2 linked regions of the Rattus norvegicus genome follow. The protein of the gene in region 1 binds, or shares a complex with, the protein of each later gene. Links are inferred from orthologs where the notes say so. Each region holds a gene or a part of one and is shown on either strand. Other genes may lie near its edges. The genes, in order: Anp32a and Nme1.

Region 1 (3,236 bases):
TGATATAAAAGCAAATTTACTTCAACCATTCTTAGAAACAGTGAGCTGCCACATGCCATAGAAACCGTAGAAACCAGGCCTTCAGGTCCAGAGAGGCTACCAGCATGGAACCCTGGGAAAGACCCAGAACAAGGAGCCTAGAATGGGAGGATGACTTCAGGACTGGCTGAATCCCAAGCACATTGGATGTGAGGTCCTCAAGGGCCCTTGAGTCTATCTGCTGCACCCCACCCCTTCAGCTGCCCAGGCTTTGTTGGGGGGAGGGCCCAGGAAGGACAGCCAGGCTTGTCCACTTGATTCTTCATTTGCAGAAACTGGGGTCTTTCCCTTGAAGCTAAAACCATATTGAGGACAGATGCAAGAAAGGATGGCCTACTTTCAATGACAGGGCATCTGCCTAGGGAGCCTGGTCTCCTAAGAGCCTGCGCACTGTCAAGCTGCCTTTTTTCTAGGGACTGCACATCCAGTTTTTCTAACACAGGGCAGTCCAAAACGACCCCACACCCAAGGTAACCACCAATATCTTACTTGATGTGGGAAATGTCTCAGGGCACATGTTGAAAGTCTTCTGACTCCAATGACTCCTTATACAAAACAGTAAGAAGCCCTACTGTGTGTTCACCCTGTGCTGTAGGCCTCATTGTGATGGGATGCAAGGCCTCCCTAGGCAGGGACATCTCTCTCTAACTCGTGTGTGTGTGTGTGTGTGTGTGTGTGTGTGTGTGTGTGTGTGTGTGTGTGTACACTAGCGTGTGTACACATACTTGTGTGTGCATGCAGCATGTGTGGAGGCCAGAAGTCAGTGTCAGTTGTGTTTCTCAGTCACAACCCACCTTATCTCTTGAGCCAAGGTCTCTTGTTGAACCTGGAACTCACTGATTGGCTAAACTGGCTACTGGTGAGCTCCTGTCTGTCTCCAAGGTGCTGGGATACACCTGTGTGCTGCTGGGCCCCGCTCCTATGTTCGGATCGATGGAACTGGGGAGCTGCCTCCCTAGACCCAGCAGGGGCACTTCTAATACCCTGCTGTCTGTCTTTGCCCCTAGGAGGATGAAGAAGGTTACAACGACGGGGAAGTGGATGATGAGGAAGATGAAGAAGATGCTGCTGGTATGTCAGCCTTCTTGCTCTCTCCTGGTGGCAGGCTGACCCCCTTGACTCTAGCATTGCTTTGGGCTTTAAGGGCCAAACAGTGGGGGACAAGGGGAATAACTCATGCTTCCTAGATATGCTCCGGTTTCAGGGCTGCCTGAAAGATGGCTGCCTGGTAACCATCCCTTTTCCTTGTTTTTCCAGAAGAAGAAGGGAGTCAGAAGCGAAAACGAGAGCCCGATGACGAGGGCGAAGAGGATGACTAAGGGGAATTAACCTGTTTGGGGAAATTCCTATTGTGATTTGACTGTTTTTACCCATATCCCCTCCCCCTCCTATTCCTGCCCCCCGAAACTTATTTTTTTCTGATTGTAGCGTTGCTGTGGGAATGAGAGGGGCAAAGTGTACTGGGGATTGCCGGGGGTGGGGTGGGGGTGGGAGGGGAGGAATAAAATACTATTTTTACTGCCACACTTTCTTTTCCCCCTTCCTTTTTCCTGTGTCTGGTTTTGTCCCCATAACTGCAATAGCTTAGTGCACACCAAGCGTTTGTTCTTACTCTCCAGAGAGGATGGCTTGGAGGTCTCTAACCTTTTCTGGTATGTCCCACATCCCCAGAGTTGATCAGGAGGCCGTGGCTGGCCTCCACCAGGTGACTCACAGCCCAAGAGCCGTCTTCTTCACTAACTCCTGTTCTGGTTCGTGTGGTCGCTGCCAGAGGCACCCAGCACCCTGGTTTGTAAATAGCAACCGAAAAGGCGTATTTTGGCACTGGTTTGGGGACAGTCCCCATCTCTCACCCCCTTTCCCCCTCCACAGATGTCAGTGCAAAGAGAGCTCTTGTTATTCTATGGCTGTGATCCTGAGAGCCAAAAAGAAAAGAAAAGAAAAAAAAACAGAAAACAAAACAACAACAAAACGCGGCAGGTTTAGGAGACACGTAAAATGGGAAAGAAGTGAACCTTCGTGTTTCAGCTTCTTCAGAAAAGCCAACCTGTTCTATCTTGTTCTGTAAAATATTAGAGCAATTTGTTTTACAGAAATGGCAGGAGGACTCCTCGGGCGCTCCAGCTTAGAACCTTTTAACAAATCTAAGCTCTGGAAGCGCCCTGTGTGTCCTCTGGGTTTTGGTTCTGTTTGTTTTCCTTCTCAAATACATAGGAGCACGGAAAAGGAATGCAAGCTCGTATTTTCTTACCTGGTGGGACTCTGAAGTGGCCGCAGATTTCTCCTAGAGAGTGCGTGTGCCTTCAGCGTCCCCCTTCCAGATTGCTTTAGAAGTGACGTGCTGTTTCCTACCCTGTGTCTCATTTGTACAGATCAGCTGTAACTCATTTTTCTCCCGCCCCTGAGAAGAGCCAAACTTTGAGTTTTATGTCTGTTTGTCATTGATAAATTTCAATAAATCTTTTTTATACAATTTTGGGGGAGATGGCTTCTTTCGAGTCCTTACAAGCCATTGATCATCCTAGGATCAACTGCTGACCCTGGAGGGAAGTCATGTCACCCGCTAAACAGCTTTCTTACACGGAGGTTGAAGACTTTGTTCACAAAGCAAGCCTGAGTGGTATGTTCTACTTAAAGGCTACATTTTTTAAAGTGGGGGAAGGAGGAAAAAAGGGTACAAGACTTATAAATAAATACATAAATAAAGCACCCAGAAACCAGACCAACAATAAATAGCCCTTGGGTTTTTTTTGTTTTGTTTTGTTTTGTTTTTTTAAATATCTTTGAGCGGGGTTGGGGATTTAGCTCAGTGGTAGAGCGCTTGCCTAGGAAGCGCAAGGCCCTGGGTTCGGTCCCCAGCTCCGGAAAAAAAAAAAATTAAATATCTTTGAGCATCTTTGAGGTTTTTTTCATATTGTAAAAGAATGTATACTTAAACTCAGGAATGTATAAAACATTATTTAACACACCCTAGGCTTAACAGCTGGTATTTATTGTATTACCTTTTTATTTATGGTCCTGGGTCTCTGTTCTTGGGGTTTTCTGAAGTGCTAGGTGTTCCCTGCTAATCTCATGTCTGGGTTCTGATTGGATTTATTGTAACCAAACAGGTAGATTGTTGGATTATTTCTAGTTTCTCCCGCAGCATCCTCCTCATAAGTAATAACACTTAAATATTTAAAAAAACTATTTACAGC
Region 2 (4,470 bases), on another chromosome or scaffold:
CAGATTTCTCCCCCAAAGCCCGACTTACCACGCCTGATTTACACGAGGCACTATCAGTCAGTAATTAGTAAAGCAAAGACCTTCTTCCCGACAACCTACTTCAAGGGTAAGGTGTAGGAGTTAGAAGGATAGTCTCTAAAATTATCTGTTTAGAAGGCTAAAGACCAAGAGCTCTAAAACACGCAGAGCTGAGTCAGAAATTACAGCTCTGCAGTAATATGAGGGACTTCATGCTGTTATGGAGGAAGAGAGACTATTTTTGAAAGCCCTAAATGACTTGGTTTGTTCCAAGACTCAGCCTGCATGCTTAGTCACTGAGAGGTTTTCAGGCTCCAAGACGCCCTACCATGGAGACGTCTAGACAGGAGACAAGGCAACCACGGAAGTTACTCTGCAGTGTTCCACTATGCCCTCCAAAGATTCAAAACAGGAAGAGTGAGGTCCACTCACCTGTATAAATTTCAAACCAACCAGGCGGAATCCCTTCTGCTCGAATCGCTTGATGATCTCTCCCACAAGCCCCCGCTGGACCCCATCAGGCTTGATGGCGATGAAGGTACGCTCGCTGTTGGCCATGGTCCTGGGGACAGGCAGGCAGGGAAGTGAGACAGGGCTGAAAAGATGTTCAGTGTGATCCTTTTCGAGCGGATTACTACCATAAAACTGGCTTTCATCTCTTACGCCTACCCTAAGTCTCTCTAGTAAAACCCCAATCCCTGCCCAGTTCATTCAGCCATGGATTAATATCCTGAAATGAGGAAGGGCTCAAAAACAGAAAATGTAATGTCTATTCCATTTGATTTAGTAAGGTCCCATTGCCCTTCTATTGTGCCCTTAACAGTGTGGTGGAACTTAGGAAGGAGATGTAAAACTAAGGCCTGCACACACCAAAAAGACAGCACTTTTTTCAGTGACACACATCAGGGGAACCGGCACTGGTGTGGCTTTCCCAGTCAAAGTTACATCTGGAACAAGACAGTCTGACCTACGACGTTCAAGCGTTTTAGAGAATAGGTCATGACAACCATCTTTGTTTTTTACAAAGAATGGAATTTCCCAGCCCTACGCAATTTGGGACACATCTTGGGATGTAATGAGAAAAACCAAGCCTGAGGAATCATGGCAGTAATTCCATCCCTAGGAAGGCTAAGGCAAAAAGGTAAAAAATTCCAGGCCAGCCTAGGCAACGTAAGACCCTGACTCAAAAAACAAACAAACAATGACTATGTTCTATTATAGATTGGGGAGGGGGACTCAGAAGACCCAAGGCCTTGGGAGCTATTGGCAATGAATGGTTGGGAGGTCATTTTCTTCATTGGTGTAGCCATGGGTAAACTGTCCATGCCACAGTAAATAACTCCTCTATCCATCAAACAAGCAACTCCAATTAAACTCAATCACATACACACACACACACACACACACACACACACACACACACACACACACGACAAAAATAGCAGACATGAAACTTCTTAGAAGGAATTCAGGCAAGATGAGGGGAGGTAAAATGACTAAATATATCACATACATATAATTGTCAGAAAATAAAAAGATAAAAATTTGAAAGTCCATTAAGAATAGCAAAATAGCAATTAACATTTATTAAACTATGTATTATGGGAAAAGGGCAATGATTACTGTGACTAACCAGTGAACTGTGGATTGTAAGAGAACCACAGCACAATACCTAACATGGGACATTATCCAGGAAGGAAGACTTTTGGAGAACATCCATTCCAGAATGTTCCATTTCCAGGGAACACTGTCTCACAAGATGAAAGGAGACTCCACCCTGAAAGACAATACCTCAGAGGATAGCAACCCCAGCCTGGATCTGTCTTTCTAAACTTGGGATAACCTCTAATTGTATACCTTAAGAATGAGGCCTGAGCCAGCTAGATGGCTCAGGGGATCATGAGTTGTACCACAAGCATAAGTTTGATCCCACGAACCCACTCCACAAAGTTATCTTCTGGTGTTCACATGTGAGCCAAGACATGCATGAACAAGCGCACACAAACAATAATAAATAACCTTTTAATGATCATTTTGTTGGTGTCTTCCTCCCCCTCCCGCCTCCCCTGTCTGTAACCTGTAACCTGCATAGTTGATCTAAGCCAATACACCCAGCTTTGATACTAAGTCACAGGGCCTCGCAGTCAATAGGAGCAAAGAGCATGCCTTAAGTGGCGATCACGCCTTCCAAAAAGAGAAAAGACAGAACCCACAGACTAGCTGGAGAATGTCTGAAGGAACGTGAAGCAAGCACTGATTACTCAGAAATGGCCTGCCATGCCACCAGAAACAACTAACAACTGATCTCTCTCTCTCTCTCTCTCTCTCTCTCTCTCTCTCTCTCTCTCTCTCTCTCTCTCCACACACACACACACACACACACACACACACACACATTCAACTCATTCATTTATTCATTCATTCAGCAAGCACCGCCGAAGTACCAGCTCTGTGCCCAACACCGGTCTGGAAAGAGAATAAGGCACAGCCCTGCCGTGCAGCTTGACAGGAACTGCAGCCACGGACAAAGGCGAGCCCACGTGGTGTGTCAAGCTGACAGGTCTGTACCTGTCCACAGCCTGCCATCTCCCGCAACACCTCTAGGAGAATGCACCCTTTATTTAACGCCCACCGCCCTCTCCACTCACCTAGACCCTCAACCTGTCTCCTTTCCCTCTCAGCACCCGAACCCCTCTCACCCCTTCTGACGCCCGGTCTTTAACTCTGGTGGCGACTGCCCGCACCGGAAATGCGCCCTGGCCTTACGTGGTTCCCTACAGCTGCAAGCTCGGAACTTTCATACAGTTCTGATTCAGGGGAGCCCTTTTGGCGGTACACCGCCGATCCCTGCTTCCTCTGGGGAGTAGGATGTCATTCTAGGGAGCACTCTCCCGGTGTCTAACTTCCGACACTGGGTGTGGTGTTTTGGGTCCCCACCCCCACCCACCCACTGGCTGGCGGCCATCTTTTGTTTCTCCCCTCCCGCCGTGTGACTCACTTCCTTCGTTCCCGAGAAAATTTGGTTTCCCGAGAGGTGGCGCTCACACTGCGTGAAGTCACAACCAGAGCTTCAGTAGCCGCGTCATTCCACCTTCCCTTCCTCTTGTCAAACAACAAATGTACTGAATACTATGTGCCTGACACCTAGGGTGGAAGCAGTGAGCTTACTTGGGGCTTACTGGTAAGGGTTAGAATTGAGGCAAACAATAAAAAGAAAATTGAGAGCGAATATACGGTGCAAGTGCTGTGAAGAAAGAAGAGCAGAGAAAAAAAAAAAAAATAAGGTTGGGAAATCTCTGCAGAAGTGATAATCAAATAGACCTACATGAAGGCAGGAAGCCTATTATTACCTGAGAGCCAAGAATTACAGTGAATACCTGATGCTTGGAAACGCAGAAGGAGGGTTTTCTATCATTATTATTATTATTGTTGTATTGTAGGGTCTCATTATGTAGTCCTGACTGTCCTGGAACTCACTATGTAGACCAGGCTGGCCATGGCCTCGCAGAGATTCCCTCTAGGATTAAAAGAGTGGGCAACCACATCTGGCATTGTTTATGTATTTGTTTATTTGTTAAGATGTGTTTATTTTATGTATGAGTGCTCTATCTGCATGGATAATTGCATGCCAGAAGAAAACGTCAGATCTGGTTACAGTTGGTTGCTGGGGATTGAACTCAGGACCTCTGGAAGAGCAGTCAGTGCTCTTAACCACTGAGCCATCTCTCCAACCCCTTATTATTTATTCAGGCGTACACGTGTATGTCTATGTATGAAGCAGTCAGGTTCCCCGGAGCCGGAGTTACAGTTGCGAGTGATCTGATGTGAGTGCTAGGAACGGAACTTGGGTTTTCTACAAGAACAGTGTGTGCTCTATCACCGCTGAACTAGCTCTCCAGCACACATGATTTTTTTGTTTGTTTGTTTGCTTGCTTTTTGTCTTTTGTTTTAATGGAGGGACTGGGGTGTTGGTCAATGAGAAGGGCCTCGCCTGGATGGATTCACAGCATTGGGAAGCCTGAAGCAAGAACATCAAGACTTACAGGCCACCTGGATGACATAGAGAGAGTATGTCTCCCACAAAACAAGCCCGTGGGAGCACAAGGTTGGCAGAACGGCTCTGTGATTTCGAGGCAAGCCTGGTCTCCATAGTGAATTCCAGGCTAGCCAGCACAACATAGTAAAAGCTTATCGCAAAAAAACAAAACAAACAGTCAAACACACACAGTCTAATCACAAAATGGGCAAAAGACAAGAATAGACATTTCATAGGTAGAATATATGTACAGATAATGGGGAAAGGAGGAAAGGAAGTCTATTGTTATAGCTCAGTGGGTAGAATTCTTGCTTAGCTTGCACAAAGCCTTGGGTTCAACCCCCAACATTACCTAGATTGGATACAGATTCACTATATTAACCAGGCCTGTAATCCAACACATCCAAAATCAAAAG

The links.
Region 2: Anp32a (region 1) and Nme1 share a complex: the UniProt entries of both Homo sapiens proteins name them as parts of the SET complex. The link is inferred for Rattus norvegicus from reciprocal best matches to the Homo sapiens genes ANP32A and NME1.

The regions. Positions count from the first base shown.
Region 1 is NC_086026.1:71,758,411-71,761,646, forward strand, and holds the end of Anp32a (acidic leucine-rich nuclear phosphoprotein 32 family member A), read left to right. Parts: intron 1-1,046; coding exon 1,047-1,110; intron 1,111-1,296; coding exon 1,297-1,358; 3' UTR 1,359-2,512; downstream 2,513-3,236. UniProt on the Homo sapiens protein: Multifunctional protein that is involved in the regulation of many processes including tumor suppression, apoptosis, cell cycle progression or transcription. Promotes apoptosis by favouring the activation of caspase-9/CASP9 and allowing apoptosome formation.
Region 2 is NC_086028.1:79,410,488-79,414,957, forward strand, and holds the start of Nme1 (nucleoside diphosphate kinase A), read right to left. Parts: upstream 2,824-4,470; 5' UTR 2,718-2,823; exon of another isoform or gene 2,667-2,717; intron 2,630-2,666; exon of another isoform or gene 2,463-2,629; intron 581-2,462; 5' UTR 577-580; coding exon 451-576; intron 1-450. UniProt on the Homo sapiens protein: Major role in the synthesis of nucleoside triphosphates other than ATP. The ATP gamma phosphate is transferred to the NDP beta phosphate via a ping-pong mechanism, using a phosphorylated active-site intermediate.